Linked DNA regions of Notamacropus eugenii. The protein of the gene in region 2 interacts with the protein of the main gene of each other region in a biochemical or structural test. Links are inferred from orthologs where the notes say so. Each region holds a gene or a part of one and is shown on either strand. Other genes may lie near its edges.

Region 1 (12,134 bases), on a different chromosome or scaffold from region 2:
TTTGGGGTTTGTTTTTTAAAATACCAGGGAGGTGGTACAGTTCATCAAGAGCAAGACTTGGGAGTCAAGATCAGAGTTCAAATCCAGCCTCAGACGCTTGCCAGCAGTGCGTGTGACCTTGAAAAATCAAACTGTGTCTCCCAGAACCTATCTCCCAGGATTGTTGGATCAAATTACATAAAGTATGTGCTACATATGTGTAGCAAAGTAGCATGCAAATGCTAGCAATTATAGATAGTATAAGGATAATATTCTGGTGAAAAAGGAACTCAATCATTTTATATTCTCCATGAGCACAAGCAAGATCATCCTAAATAAAATACAATGTACCAGAAAATGTAATAATGACTGAGTGGTTCTGGAAAATTACGTTTTACTCAACATAACCACAGTCAGCTAGGTGTTGAAATGGATAGAGTGCCAAGTTCTAGAGTTAAGAAGACTCATCTTTCTGAGTTCAAACCCAGGCTTACACAATTACTAGCTGTATGACCTTGGGCAAGTCACTTTAACCCTGTTTGTGTCAATTTCCTCATTGGTAAAATGAGCTAGAGAAGGAAATAGCAAACCATTTCACTATCTTTGCCAAATGGGATCATGAAAAGTCAGACATGACTGAAAAACAACTGAACAATATAACCACATAAATATTAAAACATTTCAAAAATGCATTTAAAATTAATTTATATTTTAAAACAAGAAAAGACTTAATTTTAAAATGAACACTATTCAATAAATTTACATTTGTTTTATCTAATGTTTTTCTTCCTAAAGCTTTACTCTTCCTAAAGCCACTAACAAAATTACACTGAAATCTATTTAAAATGGCATCTAGTGAGCTATAATTCTGTTTCAAGAGGGCAAACTCAATAAATCAAAATTAAGGGGTATGTGGATACTTTTATTAGTGTATATATTTTTTTAAAAAGTCAACACCTTCTAAAGTCATTGTGAAATAAATGCCAAACAATCAAGTTAGAATTATATGAGGTCTCTACATAGTATTTCCTACTGTAAAATTTCTGCATTAGCAAAAAATCCCCCCAATCTATATTCCACATCTCGATACATGTTTTATATAAGGGGAGGTTGATATTTTCTGGGTCCCTGCTAGTATTTTTCCAAATGTAGGAAGAATATCCAGGTGGGCTTCTCCCATAGCAGAATATTAGATCGATGTCTTCAAGGAATAGTCTAGAATGGTTCCCAAATCATTTTCCTGAGTTGCAACAGACAGTTAAAAAGCCTGTTACTCTAAGTATAATTTAGATTTTTTCCCTTCCCTTAAGTGTATTACCTTATACTTGTCTAATTGCTTGCCACTTTTTCTGCCCACTCACATAGCTTTGAAAGATATCTTTGCAATTAATTTGGACTGGCTTGTATTTCACTGACTAGAGTAACTTAAACTGTGCACTCCCTCTTTCAAATCATTTACAAAAACATTATATGGACATGGTTGGGTGGAGAGTTTAGGTTTATCTGTCTCCTTAGGATCAACTTTCAAAAAATGGGAATAAAGGGAAAGTAGTGTGGGGAAAGGCCAGTTTTGTGCTCATGAGGTTGACTACCACCATTACAAAACTATTAGTAAGTAGGTAGTTCTGGTCTTTAGAACCTCTTCAAAATACCTTCTGTCTCTCCCCAACCTTGTGAAGGAATGAATAAATAAGTCAAAAGCATTTAATGAGTACTGACATTTAATGAGGAAACTATTATTCATGAAGGAAAACTCAAGTGAATAAAGAATACCTATTGTCCACACCAAGATGGGCAGGTGAAGAAACAAGCTCTAGAAGTGCTCCATCAGTGTCTATCTCTTGGGACAGACACTGCAAATGTACCATGAGCCAGGTCCAGAACTCAAAAGAAAGAGTAAAACTGGCAAGATTGCATCTGGAAAATTATGCAGCATATTTAATGACCCTAAGCTGCTGCCTGAAACAAGGCTCTTCTTTTTCACATCAATATTCTCCTGGTACACTATACTATAGCTGCAAGTCACAGGATATCAGTCTCTACAGAAATAAATGTGAGGTTGCTTAAAGGGAAATGGAGATTCAGAACCAGCAAAAGCTGTCTACTGCACATTACCAAAGAACTGTTCGAATTGTAGAGCCAGTAGAGAATGAATGACCAGTAAAGAAAGTAGATCTGGTCACGTGGTCGAAGGCAGGCATAATTAACCGGTAGAGAGCTTGAAGGTCTTCCTTGGGCTTTAAGAACTGGCAAGAGATTTGCAGAAAAAGCCCAGCACCCAAGCACACTGAGTGAACAACCACGGAAGGATTTACAGAAGGACATGGATAAAGGGTTGCACATGTCAAGAAGGTATGATGAATGGGTTATGCATTACTGGAAGTAGCAATTACAACAGAGGAGATCATGGATCTGCTGAAATACTATGATATGCCTGCATTATATGCATTACTTATTTGCATATTTTCTCCTCACATACTATCTTTTCCCTTTCTGAGTGAAAAATACAAAATTTTCTTTTTCCTCCACAAAATTCTCCCACGCTCATTATCAGCATCAAAAGTCCAGATTCTGTGAAATTGGGCAAAAGCAATTAGAGATGTGTAAATTGTATTTAATTAAACCCTGCCAGTAATAACAGACAGTACTTAACCACTCACCATACTTCTTTCAACAATTCTTATCAAGACTTCAAAGACTATATTATTAAGGTAATTCTGGAAACAAAACCCATATAGGCTACTTCAGAACACTCCCTCTTATTCAAAATTCAAACCATCAGAAAGCTTAAAAAAATTTTTTTTCCAATAGTTTGAACTTCTATAAGAAAAGAAGCAAATAAGCGAAGAGATGACACCGGGGATTTATTTTTTAAAGTATACATCAATTATCAGGAAAATACAAATGTAGTCTAATTCTGGATTTATAGTCATGGTATTTTACATTAAGTGTAAATCATTAAACAATAGTTTACACTTATTACTGTACTTTATTGTATTTTAAATTCTGGAAAGACATGAGAATTAGGGGTTAGGAGAGACTTGAACCTGGTTCTGACACCTACTAGCTAAATGACCATAGGCAAGTTAACTTCTTGGAGCCTCAGTATTCCCATCTGCAAAAACAGAGACAGTCCTAGTTAAGAAGTAGTTGAGAGAATACTAAGGTTATGTGAAGAAGAAACAAAATAAATGTCCTTTAAATTTCCATTATAAAAATATGTGAAAACTGGTAGAGGCAGCATGGGTAGAGAGCTGCCAGGAAGCCAAGTCAAATTCAAGTCTCACCTCTGACCCATGCTGGCTTGTGCCATGACCTGAGGGTTAACCTCTCAATGCTTTAGGAACTCTTTAAGTCTAGAAGCTACAGAGAGGATGTGTGCTTGTAATAAATGCATTTATATAATATTTTGTTAAAAAGATACTTTATTCACCAAAAAAGCCCAGTATATTTGTACAATTCTATTTTACAAATGAACAGACTTGACATTTAGAGAGGTTAATCAACTTGCCACCGGTCATCCATCTAGAAAGAGGGGTGTTCTTACCATTCCCAACACAGAATCATGCAGAATCCTGACCCCATTCCCCCAATTACTCTAGATAAATTGGATTTTACAGTAACTCTCTTCTAATCTATTTCACCTTGCTGCCTATATGATTAAAGTTTTTCATAGTAAGCACAAAAACACAAAAACTAACAACTCAAGCATTCAACCTGAAATTCACTACAGGAGAAAAGGATCAATGGGTCTATAAACTCTATTCTAAGGGATTTGGACAGAAACTGGCATTATTTTACATTGGTTCAGACTTGACCTATATTTCACTCATAAAAAAGTCTGTGTATCTCAGGTGAACTAAAAAGGTAAAACTTTGTTATTCAAGATCTACCTGGTCTTTGACAGACAAAAAATAACAATAATAGAAACTCCTTTTCTCCCTCCACTAGCTGTGTGGCCAACGTACAGTAGACATTTGAAGTGTCTGAAGAAATTGTCTTTCAGAGTACATTTTCTAGCCTTTTCCATATGCTCATCACTTGTCACTGATTATATTAATAAAAATCTAGCTTTGTATTTAACCTATGAGAATATAGCCACAATTCAGTCAGTTAAAAAAGGGGGAGGGAAAATAAACGATGAAGGAGTCATGTATAGAGAGAAAAGCACTGATTTCACAGTAATAATATGCTAGAGCAGGCATAAGGTTAGATCATCCCCTTTCTCCCACAGCTCATGGCTTTTCTGACCAATCCTCTTGGCTAGGAGTACATGAGGATGGTTCAAAGAATATGTGCAAGACTTGGGGTAAGAGCACTGAGGTTCAAAAAACAAAAAAAACAAACCCCAGGCCATGTGTAACAGCGACCCCGTTACCTATTTGGACCTCAGTGATTTGAGTGATTTCTTAAGTATCTTTCAGCTATAATCTTTTGATCCTTCTAAGAGCTAGGAAGATGAAACTTATTTGTAAGCTTTTGCTGCTATGGAGAGTGAGGCTGAAACTCACAATTTTAACCCAGCATCAACTAACAGGAGCCTAAAATAGTTTCTTTCTCCCGCACTAAGACTGTTTCACTCTACTCCCTTTCCAGGTTCTGTGATTTTTCTATTTTTTAAAAAATACACTTCCAAGTAGCCCTGGTACACGTTTTTTAAAATGCACAGATCCTGAAAAGTAGCACCTGAAAGAAGAGTATGTAACTGTATTCATAACAGTACATAAACTGGAATGCTAAAATTCAATTCCACTCTACAAACATTTATTAAGCACCTACTACAAAATAAGCGCTGGAACCATCTTCACGGTGAGGAGGGGCCAGGGCCTGTGAATCCATTTGAATAAATTACTTATTACCAGAGAGCTCAGTCGATGCCCACCAGCACCTTCTCTGCATTCACAGCCAGTTACCTGTCCTAGAATACTCAGTCGAGGGAATTTCTACCAGTGCAAAGCTGGAAAGCCTCTGCATCTTAGAGTCCCGAGTTGTCCAGAGTCAAAAAGGTGAGGGGACTTGCGTCAGACGTGCAGCTCTGGGCTCGCTGCCCTTCAGCCTCAACAGGTAACTGTACAGCGTCTTCGACCTACGGCATCCAAGGTGGGAAGAGGTGTCACTTCTTAACGGAAGGCTCGGGGACCACCTCTGCCCTCCTCGGGGCCGATAAGATCTGGGCAGGAAGGTTTCGGGCCACTCTCCTCCACCTCCACCGCCAGCCCAAGAGGGAGGTGATAAAAAGGCAACAGGTGAGGACTGGGGGTGGGGGACCACCTCCCCGCAGCGTCCCGGAGGAAACCAGCAGGGTTGCTCCGACAGCCCACGGAGAGGCGAGGGCTCCTTCCCCAGCTTCCTACCCCGGGATAAGCGCGGTCCCGGCCTGGCCCAGGCTGACTTCTCCCGGAGCGCCCGCCGGGCACCGCCGGCAGCGAGGGCGTCCCTCCCGGGGCCAGATGGGCCAGCCCCACACCCACCCCGCGCCCTGGTCCGGACAAGTCCGAGACGGTCCTCCAGATCTTCCTCCTCCTCCACCTTCGGACAGGAGCCGCCAAGAAGAGCGCGAGGACGCGGTGCCCGGGGAAAGGGGCGCAGCGGGGACGCTCCTCCCCCCCGCCCCGGGGCGCTGGCACCTGAGCCCCGCACGCAGGCAGACAGAAGGTCGCTGCCGCCGCTGAGGCGACGACGAGAACGCCGAGCGGGAGCGAAACGGGAGGCGCAGTCCAAAGTTACTTACCTGGGAATCGAGGGCTACCCCACCGCGGCACGGCGCTCCGGAAGCCTCGGTCCGCTCGGCCGCCTCCGCCGGCTGAGGGGGGAAGAGACGTGACCCGCCTCCGCTTCACCAAAAGCCGCCGCCGCCGCAGCCGCGGGATTCCTGGCAAGAAGCAAACTCCGGCCAAGACTTCACTTACGCCTCAACCGCCCCTGCTTGCTCACATCCCGGGGGCGAGCGCCCGCGACCGAACCGCCTAACCCGACACCCGTTCTAGCCAATCAGACGCGCCTCAGGTCAGGGAGGGGGCGGAGCAGGGAGAGGCTCGCCCTATGGAAGAGCTGAGGGGGTGGGGCGCTAACCCAGCAGAGCCTCCCGGGTTAGAGTGAGTCAGCCCCGCCCCGCTGTTCCCTCCGATCGCCCCTCCCCACCCTCCGGCTCCTTGGCCCGGGCTGTCTCCGTCACTTGCCTGATTTCCCTGCAGAAGACTGGCTCGGAGGCTTCCCCGGGGCTCTGGCCATGGGGAGTGGAACAGCTGGGGGGAAGAGTCACATGTGTGAGGGGGAGGAGAACAAGTGGGGAAAGGCGTGGGGAAATGTGGAAATGGGAGAAGACAGCTGGAGCAGGGAAAAGAGCAAACAGGGGCGGAGGTGGAAACGAGGGAAAGGGCTCAAGCACGTGGGAAAGAACACCTGAGGGAGAGAAAAGGGAAAGGGGAGGCTGGCTGGAGAAAAGGAACAATACGGGAAAGGGAAGGAGGTACGGGGGTGTGGGGCTCCGGGGCTCCGGAAAAGAAGGGATTCCCAACGGAGGACAGAAGAGGAAAAGGAAAGAGACAAATCTTGATAAGAGATGAGGGTTTCGGGGGTCAGGACAGGCCCCGAGGAGAAAGGATAGAGACCAGACCCCAAGTCTCCGCCCAAGCTTAAACGAGACTCGTCCAACTGCCCAAGCTGAGCCTCGAGGCAGGGACCGGATCCCCTCAGGAGACCCATGCAGACACTCTCCTTAGCCCCCGACGCAGCTGATAAAGCGAGCTGGGATTCCCACCCCGGCTTGTCCGCGTGCATTTCGGAGAGGAGCCTCGGCAGGGCTCCCCACGAGGAGGGGGGCGGGCGCGGGGGAGACAGTTGGGGGTGGGCTGGTGGAGGCCTGGGGGAGGGGATCCTCGCCCATTCCCGGATAGGTGCTTTGTGGGGAGGAGGGTCACCTGAGGCGGGGGCTGAGTACCCCCCAAGGTGCCCGGCTGCAGGGAATAGGAATAGTAACGAGCCCTGCCTTTGGAGGAGGGGGAAAGATCCCGCCAGGTGAGGGAGAAGACCACTCCCAAGCGAGGAGGCAAGGCCGGGTCAGGAGAGGGGATTACCCCAAGCAAAGGGGGAGGCCCCGCCGGCGGGAGAGGAGGGCGGGCTAGAAGATAAAAAATCTCTCTGCGGACTAGCGGAAAGGGAGGGGCTCGCCAGGTGAGGGGCGGCCGCTCCCCCGGGCGGGGGCGGGGGCAGAGCCGCCAGGAGGCACCGCCCCTCGGCCGGGTCCTCGCCTCGCCGCGCCGCCGCGGCTCCTCCTCCGGCTCCTCCTTCCTTCCTGCTCAGCCCGCGGGGACCGAGGTATGGGGCACATCCCTGGGGCCGCCCCCGCCACCTGAGGAGCCCGGAAGCTGCCCTCGGCCGCGCCATGGAAGAGGACGAGGAACTGGAGAGGTAACGGTCTGGACAGCGGCGGGTTCTGAGCGGAGGAGGGGAGGACGCCCCGGGGGGCCTGTGGCCCCGGCGTCCGCCTGTGCGGGCCTGGGGAGGCGAAGGGACGGGACGGGACGGGCAGCCTGGGCTGGAGGGGGGGCAGGGAGAGAGGAAATGAGAATCGGTGCCCCCCCCCCAAAAAAGGGAAAGGACACAGTGCTGCGTGTGGGAGGGGAGGAGGAGAAAGATGGGAAAAGTGGTGGGGCTCACTCTCGGGTTTTATTATTGAGAAACGCGGACACCCTGAGATTCCAGAGTAGAATGAATGTGGAAAAAGCAGCAGAAGGAACCGATGGACCCTAGTGCGCATTTATTGCGTGGATAAATGGCTTTCCAGCTAACTCCTACAACGTACATGTTTCTGGTGATTGAAATATTTGGAAAGTATGGTCCCTACCAGGCTCAGGTTTTTATATGGAAAACGGCCTTTGAAGGCTTGCCATGCCTTGGGAAAATGATTGTGATAGCTTCCATAAGGATAATTGGGGTGGGGGGTGAAGGGAGAGGGAAAACTAATTCAGGAGTTCTTCCTTTGGCCCACCAAGAACTTGGGTGGTTTTTTGGTTCATTTTGGGGTAACTGTATTTCAGTATCATTGTTTTCTTGTGTAATCCTGTGTGTAGTTAATTATTTAAAAACATCAGAAGGGCTCCATAGGCTTCACCAGACTGCCAAAGGGGATTCATGACAAAAACAGTGAAGAACCTTTGCCTTAGGAAGAGATAGTTGAATTTTGTTGCTCGAATGATGTTGCATGAAGGGTTGTGGAGGCATGAACTAGGAGAAGGTGGAAGGTTGGTAGAAGTTTCAGACCACTCTCGCTCACCCTTGTTCTTTAACTCTGCTCCCAATCAACAAGCATTTATTTACCTCCTATGGGTCAAGCACTGGGGGTACAAAGAAAGGCTAAAGACAGTTCTTGTTCTCCAGAAGCCCGCCACACACAGTCTAATGGGGTAAAGAAAATGTGACAATTATGTACAAGTAAGATACATAAAGAATAAATTGGGCATAATCATAGATACTGTGATTAAAGAAAGACTTTTTGCAGAAAGTGAGACTTTGAAGGAAACCAGGAGTCAGAGATAGAGAGCCAGCCATGGCAGGCGGCCAGTGAAAATGCCTGGTTGAGTAGAGGATGCAGTGAAGTGGGCAGAGACTTGAGTCAGGAAGACCAACCAGCAAGCTATTCTAGGGGTGAGGCAAAAAAGGCTTGCCTTGGGTGATGGCAGCGTCAGAGGAGTGAAGGGGGCATATGCAAGAAATACTACAAAAGTAGAAGTGACAGGACTTGATTAACAACTGATTGGATATGAAAGGAAAATGGAGTCAAGAATGACAACTTAGTTGTGAGCCTGAGTGACCAAAGAAAGGTGGTGTGCTGAATGATAATAAGGAATTTTGGAAGGAGGAGGACTTACAGAGAAAAATAATGATTTCAGTTTGGGGCATATGAAATTTAAGTTGTTTACAGAACATCCAGTTTGAAGTGTCTAATAGAAAGTTGGAAAGATAAGAGAGACTAGGCTGGACAAATAAAAGGGGGAGGGAATAAGTATCTAGCTTGTCAGGCACTGTATGAAGTATTTTTTACACTTACTTAATCTCAGATGATTGTCATGTATTAAATCTCATAAATATCTCATAGTTCATAAATAGAGCTGAGTGTCATCTGGATAGAGATGATAATTGACCCAGCCCAGGAGAGAGATGGAAAAAGGCTACAGGTTTAGGGGAAGAAAGGCTACAAGTTCACCTGTTAGTCACCTCTGTTCTGCAGTGTTATACTCAGCCCATTTTTAGTCAAATGATTAAGTTAGAAATCTTAAGGTAAAAATTGCATGTTTAGGGAAATTATGGTTACACAGCTTACACAGTTACACAGAGTTTGTTAAGATGTACCAGTATCTTGTCAAGCCAAAAAAAACAAACCCCAATACTGTTCTTAATGATTTCCTCCATTCTAGATTCTTACTGAAGCTTGGCCCCTTACACTTGATTTTCTCTTAGTTATATCCTGTTTCTATACCTAGTCCAAAGTAGTACTTACTCTACCTTGGAATATTGAGGAAATCAGTTCTATACTCTTTGGACTTTGAAGGCTTTTATTCCCTCCATATGGTAACTTATTAGCCTCCTCCTTCCTTGGTTAATGCTTAGTTATCTTTCTCTGATTCCTCACATTCTTTGTTCTTTTCTTGCATATCTCTGCCTCTAGTTTCCCTTAACTGATATTTCTATACCTTTATTGTTCTATTTCTATAACAAAGCTAGGCTCTACCCTCCATCTTGTAATTTGCTTGCTTGTGTATAGTTTGCCAAAGCAAAAAATGGGTCCATCTAATTCCATCCACTGAGAACAAGGTCTATTAATACAATCCTGATGAGTGATAAGACATTGACATATTAGATGAATATCAAGCCTTTATCGTTGTTCTGCCTTCAGTGGTAAAGGTAAGGAAGCACATTAGGTTTTGTTAAGAAGCAAGCATTGAGAGTTTCCTCCCAGAGCTCCCAACAACCTAATATCTCACCAAGTCACATATTAAGTCAGGCAGGTTATGGCAAAGTAGATAGAATGTTGGGCCTGGGGTCAGGAAGACGAGTTCAAATCCATCCTTAAACACTTAACTAGTTTTGTGATCCTGGGCAAATTATTTAACCTTTGTTTGCCTCAATTTCCTCAAATGTAAGATATTAGTAGCACCTACCTCACAGAGTTATTGTGAAGAACGAATGAGATAATATTTGTAAAAAGCCCTTAGCAGAGTGCCTGGCACATATTCACCTTATTATAATTATTATTATGCTTATTCCTCCCCACTCCCAATTTCATAGGTAACATCATGTTATTAGGATGCCACATAACAGAAGATAAGTAGCTTTGACTTTGTTAGAAGGAGGTTCTACTAGGTACTAGACTTTGTAGATCTGATTATCAATCAACAAATATTAAGTGCCTCCTGTTGTCTGGGAATAGATATAGGGACCATCCATCCATCAGGGAGTTTACAGTCTCCTGGGAGGAGTGTCTGCTTGTCCCTGTAGAGCTAAAGATGCTTGGTTGTCCCAGCGATTATGAAAACAACAATACTCTTAACACCTTAATTTTGTATACGAGAATGTGAGAGGAAAAAATACAGACAATTGCTATTTGCCACTAAAGGCAGTGACTAGAAGTGGGAGCATGAAGAATGGACACTGGACTCAAGAGTTAAAAGATCTGGGTTCCAATGTCTGTCGCTACCTCTTTGACCTTAGGCAAGTCATCTCACCTCACTGGGCCTTAGTTTCCTTTCTTTTGTGTGAGGATGTTGAAGTAAATAACTTCTGAGATCCCTTCCAGATCTGGACCTATGACTTCATAACAAACTATATTTGAATCATGAAAAATAGCAAATAGTCAAAGTATGAGAAAAGCATAATCAATAAGTTTAATGTTTTTGGAGAAAATAAATTTAGATCCATACCTTATACTATGTACCATAACATAGATCAATGAATTAAATTTCAAGGTATATTCGTTTCCATTCAGACTATATTCATTAAGCACATATTGTTTGTCACTCACTGTCTATATAAAGACAGAAAGAAGCCCATCCCTCAAACAACTGATGGATGATCTACTGGGAGGAAACAACATGTGCATGATACTCTACTAAATGTACAAAGATGGAGAAATAACAAAATGTCTATCCTCAAGGAGTCTGTAATATACTAATGGGGATAAGGCACATACAATCAGCCAAATACAAAGCACAATATGATACAGTAAAGGAGAGGTGTAAGAATTAGGAGGAAGAGGCCAGAACCTTGGAAGATAAATATACTTACTAGTTTTGAAGAAGATGAAACAAGTAAGAAAACAGCAGTTAGACAAGGAAGAAGAAGCAGGAGAGAGGGAGTATTATTCCACTGAAATGGGAGTATTATCAGGTGAGGGAGAATGTAATTTTTGAAAAATGCACTAATAATTGACATTCCCATAGTGATTTGAAAAGTGCTTTATTTACATTATCTATATGTGTATTTGCAGGTACTATTATTCTCTTTTTACAGATGAGAAAATAGAAGAGGCTCAGACAGTTTAAATAATTTTTCAGTGGACATATAACTAGTAAGTGTCAGAGGTGAAATTTGAATCTCAGTCTTCCTGATTCCAAATCCAGCACACTAGCCATTATGCCAAATAAATTCCTTACTATGAAAGCCATGGAAGACATAATTGTGGAAAAGGCTGATATATTTGATGTAGTACAAAACTTTTGCTAAATAAAAATTGGTAAAACTAAAATGAAAAGAAACATGGGGAGAAGGAGGAATGGGAATTGATGACTATATGATGCTACAGAATTTACATGGAATAGATTAAAAAGTTTTAAGGGCAATACTTATTTCCAGTGAACAAATTACTGGACACAGTTAGTACACAGAAGAGAAATTCAAGTAGTAAACAAAAGTTTGAAGATTATATTCAGTTTTATTCATAATTTTAGATGTAAATTAAAAATTATGAACTCTCAAATAATTCTCATCCATTTTCCCATAATAAAATTATTAAAGTTCATCTGAGTCAAGGGAAAGGCCATCTTGGGAAGCTAGTTCAGGTACACATCGCTGCTGACTGTGCAAATTAGATCATTATTTTTGGAAGCAATCTGGCTGTAGGGAAACAAGCCAGAACACGTTGGTCATGCTCTTAAACT
Region 2 (12,134 bases):
TCAAATCAATAAAAGTTTTTGAAAAGGAATAATTAAGGAAATAAGCATTTATTAAGCACCTACTATGTGCCAGGCACTGAGCTAAACACTTTATAAATATTGTCCCATTTGATCCTCACAGAAACCTTTGGAAGTGGGTGTTATTTTGATCCTCATTTTACAGTTGAAGAAACTGAGGAGGACAGAAGTTAAGTGACTTGACCGAGGTCACACAACTAGGATATGGATAATAACCTCACCAGATTATTGTGGGATCAAATGAGGTAATGTAATGTAAAGTACTTTGCAAAAATAAAACATTCTATAAATACTAGCTGCTATTATTATCATTTAACCCTTCTTAGGTCTAAATCTCTACTATAATCCTAATTTGATAATTTACCATGGTGTGGAAGAGACTCTGGGTTTGTGTTCTCAGGCTGTGCCAATGAGCCATGAGCTTTGACAAATCCTAATAAAGTCAGAAAAGCTTCAAATGGAACCAGCAAGTGACTGTATGTTATTGTCTAAGGGCATGCCTAGCTAAGTTTGGAAAGGGTCATCACCGGAACATGCCTATCAGGTGATGATTCCCAATGCCCTGCTGCCACCCTGTCAAATTGGAAAACCAGTTGCTCAGGTATAAAAAAGAGTTTGCGATGTATATCAGTGGAGGGAGAGAGTACACAAGCTGATAAAATCATGAATATTTTAAAATATTAAACGATAAGCTTGCAGAATTTAGCAAGTAGACCCTCTCCACTTTCCTATCTTGGGGCCTAGTAATTCAAGGGCCTTTACCCTGTTCTTGAATTTGAATCTTTACACATAATGAGAACAATGCCACTCCTGAGTGGCATTGGAAAATCTGCATTTCCAGACATTTTGCATATCCCCTCTATGTTACGTATTACACATGATATTCTAGCCAAACAGGCGTTCTTGCTGTTCCCCAGACTTGGCATTACATCTTCCACCTCTGTGTCTTTGCTCATGCTGTTCCCCATGCTTAGAACTCAGTCTCTCATTACCTTTGCATCTTATAATCTTTCTGCAGGAAGTCTTTCATAATTGTTAGTGATCTCTCCCTTCTCAAATGATCTTCTATTTACTTTTCTAGTTATGTGTTATATCCTTCCAGTAGAAGGTAAGTTCCTCAAAAGCAAGAACTATTTTCATTTTGTCTTTGTATTCTCAGTGCCTAGTACAGCGTTGTGCACATAGCAGTTACTTTAAAAAGTTTGTTCTAGTGAATTGAATTATATGAGCTGAATCAGATGGAAGAAGGAAAGGAATTTGAGCGATGTGGATCAATGGGGGAAAACCTTAAACTTAAGAGCTCATAGAAAACACTCCCTCAACTCACCCCATTCTAGAGGGCCCCATTGACGGCATCTTCCTTTAACCTACCAGTAGATTTCCCTTATTAAAAATAAAACAAAAGAGACACTGACTAACATTCCCCAAATTGTGGTGGATGTTCACACATGTTGAGATAATAGTACAAGTTTCTTCTCCTTTAAGATCAATGTACGGACATTTGGAAGTGCCTACTTTAAAAAAATTAAGTATCTGAAAAATAGTGTAGAATTCAGTTTTCCCAGAAGATATGATAATTATTTCATATGATATCAGGGTATAAATACAACAGCCCTTGTTTTCTACACTCCCATTTCTTTCACACCCAACCATATGCTTAGTGCTATCAAGCAACACTCTTTCTTCATCTCTCAGAGGTGCTTTGAAACATTTTTTTTTTACTTTTTAGTTTACAAAATGAATAGAGAGTTGCTTTCTCCAAGGAATAATATTCTTGGGAACCCCATTTATATTAAAGATGAAAGCATATCTGTTAGACTATCCACATTTTTCTTTCTAAAAAATATCACACTATGAATTAAGGATGAAATAAGATTCTTCTGTATTTATATAAAAATCATCTAAGAAATTCCATGGGAGCTTTGCAATGAATGACCAAACCAAATTTTAAATAAATCCTAATAACAGCTCACAAATTTTTAGCACTCTATAATTGCAAAGGGATTGTATATACATTATCTGATTTGATACTCATAAGAATTCTGGGAATTGGGTAATACATCTATTATATATATGTATGTATGTGTACATGTATGTGCATGTGTCTATATGTATATATTGTATATATATACACAAATTTCAGAGTATTACACACAAATATATATGTATGTATATATGCATATATATGTATATACATATATTATATATGTATATATATATGTATATACACACACAGGCCCAAAGAAGTTGTGACTTGACCAATGAATTGAAGAGCTAAGACTCAAACCAAGTTTTTTAACTTTGAATCAGAAAACTTTTTTCAATACCCTGCCAAGTCCACTGAACCTGATATCACACACTAGTGAAGAATGGAAAGCTCTAAAATGTGGGATATTTTCAGACAGCAAAGAAACATTCCCTTCTGAAATATCCTAACATAAAATAATGGATTAAAAGGCAGATGAAGTTTTCTTTGTTTTCCAGGAAAGAGTGAAGTTGGGAATGTGGGGCTTGGAAGAAAAAATCTTGAGGTCTACCATGTCTTCTCCACAGGTCTGTTATAGCAGGGTTAAAGTGGTGGAAACAGAGACAATTCAACTCCTTGAACCAGTTCCTAATGACTGACTCATGATATGTTACTGGCACATATGTTAAGAGAAGTTTTGTCAATGTTTTGTCCCCCAGAGAGCATGCAGAGGGAAAAACAAAATGAGAAATTAAACATGAGGTGTCTCACAATTATAAGACCTCACTGCTAACCCTTACCCCCAATGTCACAAAATACACTGGTCTCCAAAATATTTCTCATGCTTGAGTGATTGTTTGGGATTTGAGGTCACCATCAAATAAAGTTGATTAAACTGTCCTCTCTTCCCAGTTCTCTGCTAAATATAACAGTTTCAAGATTTCTATAAAAAAAAAGAGGCCCCAGCCAAGGAGAAAGAAAGCTCAGAAAGTTCTATTTTTACAAAAAAAAGGCAAGTCCTTTATTTGAGATGGATCACTGTTGTATGTTACACCATTGTCATAGCTAAATCAAGGGTCATAATGTAAAGGAAACAAAGGGTTTCATAAAAACATATTACTCCAAATGGTACCCCTGGCCAACTCTTTGATTAAATACATAGTGAAATATTCAAGGTTATTATATGGCACTTAAATTAATAAGAGCAGAGAGAAGGTAACATTTATTCACAGTCCAAAGCAATAACTTTTGAACCTTTGGTATATGTCTCAAATAAATATCAATAAATACATGTCAGTTAACTGGATAGTATTTAGTTCCAGGTTACTTAGGCCAGTGCTAGGGGTGTGCGTGTGTGTGTGTGTGTGTGTGTGTGTGTGTGTGTGTGTGTGTGTGTGTAAAGAATTGACAAAGTTGATAAATCCAGAATTCACATGGGATGATTAAGGTCTCTGGTGTGAGCACACAGGCAAATCCAAAACATGGCAAAAATCAAGCGCTGTAGTGCTGTGCAAGAGAACTACATTAGAAAACAAGAAGTGAGATACACCAAGGTACAAACTCTGTGGCTCTGATAGACTTCCAAAATTTAAAAAAAAAAAAAAAAAGGACACTCTCAAAACTTCATGAGCTAGGCAGAAGGGATGTCCTCGGCTCATGATTCAATTCCAAACAGTGCAGCAACCCTCATATAAGTATTTTTGTATTTGCATATTACAATACCCTTCCCACCCACCCCTTTCCCCTAATAAACAGCACCAGTGCAGTTTGAGTTAGAAAATTGGAAATCTGAGACATTCTACAGGTATTCATCATAAGTAAGGACCAATCAGTCTGGGCTCAAATGCAAACCTCTTCAATAGCCAGTCCTAACAGCACACCCCAAACAATTCCCTCTAGTTGACTGGTAAGAAAGCCATAATAGGTATGCTGTAAGGTCATACATAGAAAAAGCTGGCAAGCTGTCCCAGGGTGTTGGGGAGGGGCTTGCTGGTGGAGAAGAGGAGCACTTTAGAGATGCCTGTCCTGTTTTCCAGGAAGAGGGGATAAACTGAGGAGGTTGATCACAATTTTTATACCAAGAAAGTATTTCACTCCCACCATTCACCAATGTCCCGGGCTCAGCCAAAGCTCAATGTGATCCTAACCAGTAACCTTTTGTGTCCGTTTCTAGTCAGGTCATACCAACCCATGGGGTAAAGAGGGCCCATTTCCACATGAAGCCTTTTCTTTACCCAGCTGACTCTATAGAGTCAATGGTGTATCATTTGCCCGTGTTTCTACTGGATTGGAGTTCTTTTCCCCTTCTTGAGGCCATGGTCTAAAAGTTTCTCTGCAAGCAGCCCTATCCCACTTTTGGATGGAGAGAGTGAAGCTACTTGCTATCTCCCCAAGTCCTCCCCACCCCATCTATCCTTTCACACATAGGCAGAGTCACTTGATTGAGTCCTGCCAAAATTGGGAACACTGACCCGAGGCAGGTCCTTGTTGCGGATCTCATAGACAGACTTCCTCTTGGCCTGTGCACCACGCACAGCCAGCTTAATCTTGCGCCAGCCCAGGTGGTTGAGTTCAGCCAGATTGAGGACAACACAGATGCCACTCACAGCAAACATGAATACGAGGAAGACTGTCTTCTCTGTGGGCCGGGAAACATAGCACTCTACCTCCTTGATACAGGGGTAGCGGTCACATTCATACAGTCCAGGGACACTGAAGCCATAAAGGAAGTATTGGCCTACCAGGAACCCAATTTCTAGGGCATTACGGAAAACCACCTGGATGATGTAGAAGCGGGAGATGCCCTCTTGCCGACGGAGCTTGGAGCGTGCTGCTGTGCGCAACCCTGATGGGTGTGGGGCCAACTCCTTCACCTCTAGACAGTCTGGCTCGTTCTCCTTGCTAGTATTCTCTGTGTTCTGTAGTACTCCATTTACAATGGCATTTTGAAGCTTCTTATTGTCTTCTCGCTTTCCCCCACCACTGCCCCCACCCCCAGCCCCTCCAGGACCCCCAATCGATTCAGGAGGGTCCCTGTCCAGGGCGAGGAAGACAGTAGAGTAACGGCGTTCCCTCTGTTTGGCAGACTGATGCACTGAGTAAGTGATGAAGCAGAGGCTAGGGGTGCACACCATGATGATCTGGAAGACCCAGTAGCGGATATGAGAGATGGGGAAGGCTCGGTCATAGCAGGCTTGGTTGCAGCCTGGCTGCAGGGTATTGCACACAAACATGGTCTGCTCATCATCATACACAGTCTCACCCACTATGGCCACGATGAGGATCCGGAAGATCACCACCACTGTCAGCAGGATCCTGGGAGGGAAGTAGGGAGGGAGAAAGAAAGAATGTCATGGGCTGAGAGTCACTCAGTGGCCTGCTGCTGGCTTAGGGATCCCCTGCTCCTCCCATCCCATCCCTGGTGTTTCCCTGGTGCTTTGGCTGAGGAGCTGTCCACCATTCAGTGGTCCTGAACTAAGAATCTGAGAGCAATTATGCTTTCAGCTTTCTGACCATCTGGGATTTGTACACCTCCGTTTCAGAGGTCCCGAGTATATACGCAAATATTTTGGAGACGTGTGTATATGCAAGAGATTCAGATACATCTATACATAATGCATCTCTACATAATACATATATATTCATTATGTATATGGCATAGACACACAATTACATCAAATGCAAACTAGGGATATGTATCGTGTGAATGGACTCCATAAATGTTCATTCTCTATGTAAATATTATCCCTAATGTTATATTTAAAATAGTCTATTTATATGTATAAACACACAAAAATAATCCTGGTGTATGTGTGTGTTTCTCACACTATAAGCTTTCTTGAATAAATCGAGGAAAGAAGCTTCAGCCTCAAAGGATGACTCCATCTCCCTCTTCGCCCTTCTCTCTCCAAACACCATACTCCCTTCCAGCTTCTATTTAGGAAACAGAAGGGAGATCAGCTCTGACTCGGAGCACTAGGGGACCCAACAACCTGTGCCCAGAGTTCCGGTTCTGATGGGGGAAGAGTTACCCCATGGAAGGGGCCTCCCAGCAAGAGATCAACTTTCAGGAAGATCCCGGGGAGAGAAGGAAATAACTGGAAGAGAGAGGGGCAGTTCTGGGCTTGGGATGGTCCCGCCATATCCAGAACCCATGGGCCCAGGCAAGAGGGAGGGAAAGACGGGGGAGGGGAAGGGGCGCGAAAGAGGACTCGAATCGGTGAGGAAAGGGGGCCATGGGAAGGGGTGGACGCTGTGAGGCTCTGGTCCAGCGCGGCTTGGCTCCCTTACCTCCCAATCATAGTGGAATGTTGCTGTACGGCGGCTTCCAGCAGCCTCTCTAAGATGGTCCATTCCCCCATCGCTGTGCATTCGGAGGCAGCAGACAAAGACTGGGCAGCGCTGGGCACGTCCCTGCTCCTGGCCCCCTCCCCAGTCACCACCCGACAACGGGGGCTAAAGACCAAAAATAAGAGCAAAATAAACCTAATCCACTACTCTTCCCCCTCCCTCCCTTTTTTCTTTTTCTTTTTTTCACTTAAAAGAGAGGGGGGAAATCCAAGCGAGTCCAGAGAAATGGGGTAGCAGCTGGTGCTGTCCAGGGACTAGGGCACCAACCGGTCAGTTGCTGTCCAGCCTGGGGAAGATTCCCTGTGTGGCTTCGTCCAGGCAGGGGGTGGGGGCGACTGGGAGAATGTACTGGTCACTAGGCTGCTGCTAGCTGGAAAGAGATCTCTTGCTCCTGTTTCCCAGTCGGGTGGGTTGGGGGGGAACCAAGGTCCCTGCCTTGTCTCTGTGTCCCAGGGCAGCCCGACCCTTGTCTTGCAGCCTCAAACAGTGCAGGCTGGTGCCTTACTTCCCGCCTCCGAGGCCGGGCCGGGATCGCGACCCTGAATGCACAGAGGGAGCAGACTGGGAATCCGCGTCTTGCCGCCTCTAATCCTCCCTTAAGTAGTCTCTGCTTGCGTCACTCCAGGTTGGTGGAGGGGAGTGAGCGCCGGCGTGTTGTAGCTGCGCTCCCAAGCCCGAGGGGCTGGGGACTTGTGGAAAGGCAGGAGAAGGGTGGGAGAGAGGGAGGAGGCTGAGTCTTGGGTGTCCCAATTGAGCGAGGGGGGAGGGGGCAGGGAGTAGGGAGGAACCATCTCAGCTTCCCTAACTGGCCAACTGCAGCTTCCTCCTCGCTAAGCGGCTCAAAGCATTCCCTCCCTGCCCGCCCAGGTAGCACCGGGAGCTCACCTGCCCGCCAGACTACGCCTGTAGCCAGGGAGAAGATGGGAATGGGAGGTGAGGAGCTTGGGGCCATGAGTGAAGGGATGAGGGCAACTGTGTCTTTTCTTCTCAACCATTCATTAGTATTCAGCCCCATTTTTCTCCTTTCATCTAGTGTACGCACAGGGGGCTCAGAGTTGGGATTTCCCCTCGAAAGACGCACGAATGGGGCTGATTTAAAAGCTCTAGCAAGGATGCAGGTAATCGCTGTCTGTGAACAGGGCTGGAAATAAGGGGCTCCGTGGGCCTGTGGAGATTTGGCGACATAGGTGCGAATACCCTTAGGGGGACAGTGAACGTAGCTGTGAACGGGCCTGTGTGTATGTCTATGGCGAGAGAAGTATGTGTCCACTTATGTATATGCATATGTCTATCTGAATGGGTACTAACGTATGTACAGTGCAGTGATTGTATGTGGACGCCCCCTTATTTATGTTAATAGGAGAGCTAAGGAACAGAACCACTTCTGACAGATTGTGCATAACCACCCTCCTAATTTGGACAAGGATAGGCACAAACTTTGTCTAAACCGGACATATAGCATCACTCCTACTTGCTTCTTTCTCTTTTTGCACACCCACTGCCTTCCCAAATAAGCCCAGCTTAATTTCTGAGCCCCTATTTGCTTTGGGTTGCCAGATCTGCCTCTGTAAAATGTTCAATTAGCGGCTAGGAATTCTTTCACACCAGGATGCTCGTTAGCTTAAGGCTAGACATTTGAAGATATTGATAGTTTTCAAAGTTTTGGAGTATTTTCCACCAGCATAAGAAAAGAAAATGCTTGGTGTTCCTACTCTTAAAAGAAGCCTTGTGAATGTGTCAGCATTTCTTCTTAGAAGCATAATGCTCTCAGAATTGTTTCCATCTATATGGGAGATCACATACATGTGTGGCTTAAACCACACAGAGAAGAAAGAATTACGAGTCTTTTAGTTGCAGCAGACCCTGAACTTTGTTTTAGGTAACAATCTCAGACTTTTGAGATAATGACAATTCTGAAGCATAGACTCAGTATAGAAAAAGGTTTTATTTGTACATGACTTCAGGCAAAAGGAAAAATCATTTCAAAACCTAGGGAGCTTCATTTTTTCTGTTCTCCCCAGAGTTAGCTACTATTGTTGTTTAATATTTGATAACGTAAGAGCACTTTCACAGCAGTTCACACAAGAAAATAAAGTAGAACTAGAATAGGGAAGATGTAAATGAAACATCAAGTGATGATTATGAAGTTAGAGTGGATATCCTTCACTGATCTTTTACTTCTTTTGTCTCTGACAAAATGGGGCTTTAATAAAACCCTGCTCCTGATGACTGTTGAAGGACTTGATGTGTTTTGATTCTCACTTTAAGGCATCAAATGTGTTGGTGAAGAGGAAATAATGACTGCAAAGAGCTAGAATGACTTCGTCAAAAACAGATCATGTCAGACTAACCTTATTTCCACTTTTGACAGGATTACTAAAGTATTAACTCAGGAGAATGCTGCAAATATAGTTTATGTGGATTTTTTACAAAGCATTTTAAAAAATGTCCCATTCTATTGTAGGAAAATGGAGATATATGATCACATGATAATTCAGTTATATGAATCAGAGACTCGTTGATTGGCCGCATTCAAAGATTAATGGCTAATAGTTGGATCAGCTTAGTAGAAGGTGTCCAGGGAAGTGTCTCGGGAATCTGTGTTTGGTTTTGTGCTATTTAACAACGTTTTTATCATTAATTAAAGGCAGAGATAGCATATTTATTGAATATGCAGCTAACACAAAGTTGGTAATATTACAAAGAAAAATTAAGACTCAGAAAGACCTTCATAGGCTAGAGGAGTGGTTTAAATATAATCAGATGAAATTCAATAGGGACAAATACAATGATTCATTCTTGAATTCAAATAAATCAGAAGTTTAGCGTGGGAGAAACATTCCAAGATAGCAATTTGCCTAAAAAAAGACCTGGGGATTTTGGTGGACCACAAGCTCTATATGTGTGAATAGTGTAATATGGCAACCAAAAGAGCTTATGTAATCTTGGGTTACATTAAAAGAGGCGTAGCCTCTAGTAATGAGGAGATCATAGCGCCATCAATTTAAAGTTGGAAGGTACCTTAGAGGTTATCAAGTCCAACCCTATTATTTCAAGAATAAGGAAATCAAGTCCCAGAAAGTCAAAGTGACTGGTCACACAGGCAATGGAGCCAAGATTCACATTCAGGCTCACTAACTCTGTGATTCCCTGTCCTTTCCACTGTACCACACTAGCTCTGAACAGTTCCTCTATATTCTTGCTGGTCAAACCACAGATGAGTATTGCGTTCAATTAGCTCTGGATGCAACTGTTTAGTAAAGATATTGGTAAGTTGGAGAGCCCTTAGAGAAGGACAACCAGGGTGCTGGAAGGCTTGGAGTGTAGGTAACGTAAGAATCAATCAGAGGAATGCAATGTATTTACCCTGGATAAAGGAAGATTTGGAGGTGGAGGAGGGTGAGGTAGAGAACATAATAGCTGATTTCATGCATTTGAAGGACTGTCATGTGGAAGAAGAATTATATGGACCCAGAGATTAGAATCAAGGACAATTTCACAGAAATTTCATAGAAGCAAATTTAGGGTTGATGTCAGGAAAAATTTCTCCACAATTAAAGCTGTTCAAAATTGGAACAGGTTGTCTCATTGGTTTTGCCTTCACTGGAAGTCTTCAGTAAAGCTTTGTTCAGTGAACATTTGTTGGGTATGTGATAGTGGGATTGCTGCCAGGGTTCCTTCCAATTCTACAATGTTGTGATTCTTGTGCTTCTTCAACTAAGACTCCTAGAAAGATTCTCCAACATTCTCTTTTCCCATTTTATCCCTGTTCTCTGGTTCTCCTGTTTGGAGTATGTTTTGATGAAAGGGATTTCAGTAAATGGGAACAAGTAGGTAAAAAAAGGTAAAGAAAAATAAATCAAGGATAACCTGAAGTAAAAGTAGTGGTAATATTTTTATCTGGTTGTGACTGAGAGTGTTAGAATGTAATGCATGATACATTGATCATTATATAAATATATGTAGTTATCATTTCATGTATTTGAATGTGGTCCTAAGAACATTCATTTTGTCTCAGTTTGTGGTTTCATCAGGGAATCTTCTCAATGTAGAAACTCCCTCCCTTGATATAAATCAGATACTCATCTGTAACTTATCATCCTAGGGGCTGAGATAGACTAACTTCTCCATGATCCCACAAAAGGTATATGTCAGAAAAAGGACAGGAACTCAACTCATCCTGATTTCAAGACTAGCTCTCTATCGATTACTTCCCATAGACTATTAAAAAGATATATATCTCTATTTATACATGCAGAGAATTTTAGTTTCCAAGACCACTCATCTGATATGACATGAAGTCAACTGTGTTTACATAAGCCAACAATTTGTATCCCACCACACATAAAGTTTGCAAAGATATTAATTTATAGTGTTCTATGGCAACTGTGGTCTATGTCCTTCCTTGTCCTTCCTAGGATAATGAATTTAGTATAGAAAAGCACCTCAACAAAATTTAGAATAGAAAAACACCTCAGTAGTACAGGTCCAACTTCTTCATTTTGTAGAGTAGGAATCTGAAGTCCAGAGAGGTTAAATAGTTTGCTGAAAGTCATAGAGCTAATAAGAGTCTATAGGAGGATTTGAAGCCAGGTCTTAAGTTTAGGACTCTTCACAACAATGTAATGGTCATTCTCATCTTCAGTTTAAAACTCTGCTCATACTGCAGTATCTTAGTCTGCTATGTAGTTAGATTGGCAAGCTTTGGAGTTTGTCCATTAGTATACCTATCTTGGACAGACACTTCAAATAGACAATGAGCTAAGTCCAGGATTGAACAGGAGCAGAGCAGGTCTTTGGAAAATTGTCATGTTCTCTTACTAATGCCTTGATTCTATCCAAAACAAAGACATCATTTTAACACCAATATTCTTCTGGTATTGCCATATAGCTGTGAGTTATTGAACACTACAGTCTCCAAAGAATCGAAGCTAAGATCACCCAAAGAGCAGTGGAAAGGCAAATGGGAGTTGTGAGCTGGCTATAGCATATTATGAAAAACAAGCATACAGAAGAAATGTTGCAACATGTACAATCAAAAAAATACGTGATAACAAAAGATGGGCTGATCACATATTGATAGTGAGGCATAACCAATGGCTGACCACATAAGCCATTGGAAGCCTTGACATTACTTCAGAGTATACAATGCCATTCTAACTTTCCTGCCCCTTTTTGCTTACCTTATCTCTTTTCAACATAGCATATACACTCTCTTGCCTCCTATGATCTTTTCAATGTCTCTCTTGTCAATCTTGTCTTTTTTTGTGGGGAAAAATGCTTCCCATATTTTACTTACTCTATGATACCTTGTGTGGTAGATAAATGTAAACAGTTTTTCCAGTATAAAGTCTTTCTGTTTAGATTTTCAAGACTTCAGGAAAATATATTCATAATAGCCTCTGTTAGGTTACTCCATCCCTGGTCAGGAGCCCACCATCTTATTAAAATATAATCCATGGTCTAGAAATTCAAATCCCATTCTCAAAGACCATCTCCTTAACCAGGTGTTCATTTCCCAAGTCTGCCTTCCTTTTTCTGAAGCCTTCCTTTAAGCTGTAATAGTGACAAAAATACTACTTTTCTACTAAAATTTCCAGTTTCTAACTCAAGAATGCACCGGGCCAGGGATGTTCAATCAGGAGGCTGCTCTCTAACACTACATTCCTTATTCTCTGCTTCTAAAGTCATCTAAGTTTATATGCCTTTGGTTAGGTTAATCCTTGAACTAACCAGAACATTATCTTGGATAGTGAGTGTTGGGTTGGAACACAAATGAGAAGCAATTTCTAAAAGCTGA

Evidence for each region.
Region 1: the proteins of GJD2 (region 2) and LNX2 form a complex in vitro, tested with the Homo sapiens proteins (2 studies listed by BioGRID and IntAct, with this or other methods). The link is inferred for Notamacropus eugenii from reciprocal best matches to the Homo sapiens genes GJD2 and LNX2.

What each region holds. Positions count from the first base shown.
Region 1 is NC_092876.1:195,751,864-195,763,997, forward strand, and holds the start of LNX2 (ligand of Numb protein X 2), read right to left. Parts: upstream 5,850-12,134; 5' UTR 5,711-5,849; intron 5,066-5,710; 5' UTR 4,893-5,065; intron 1-4,892. Other genes in the region: protein POLR1D, read left to right, coding at 6,683-6,996.
Region 2 is NC_092878.1:19,544,334-19,556,467, forward strand, and holds GJD2 (gap junction delta-2 protein), read right to left. Parts: upstream 6,861-12,134; 5' UTR 6,346-6,860; coding exon 6,275-6,345; intron 5,300-6,274; coding exon 4,402-5,299; 3' UTR 3,674-4,401; downstream 1-3,673. UniProt on the Homo sapiens protein: One gap junction consists of a cluster of closely packed pairs of transmembrane channels, the connexons, through which materials of low MW diffuse from one cell to a neighboring cell.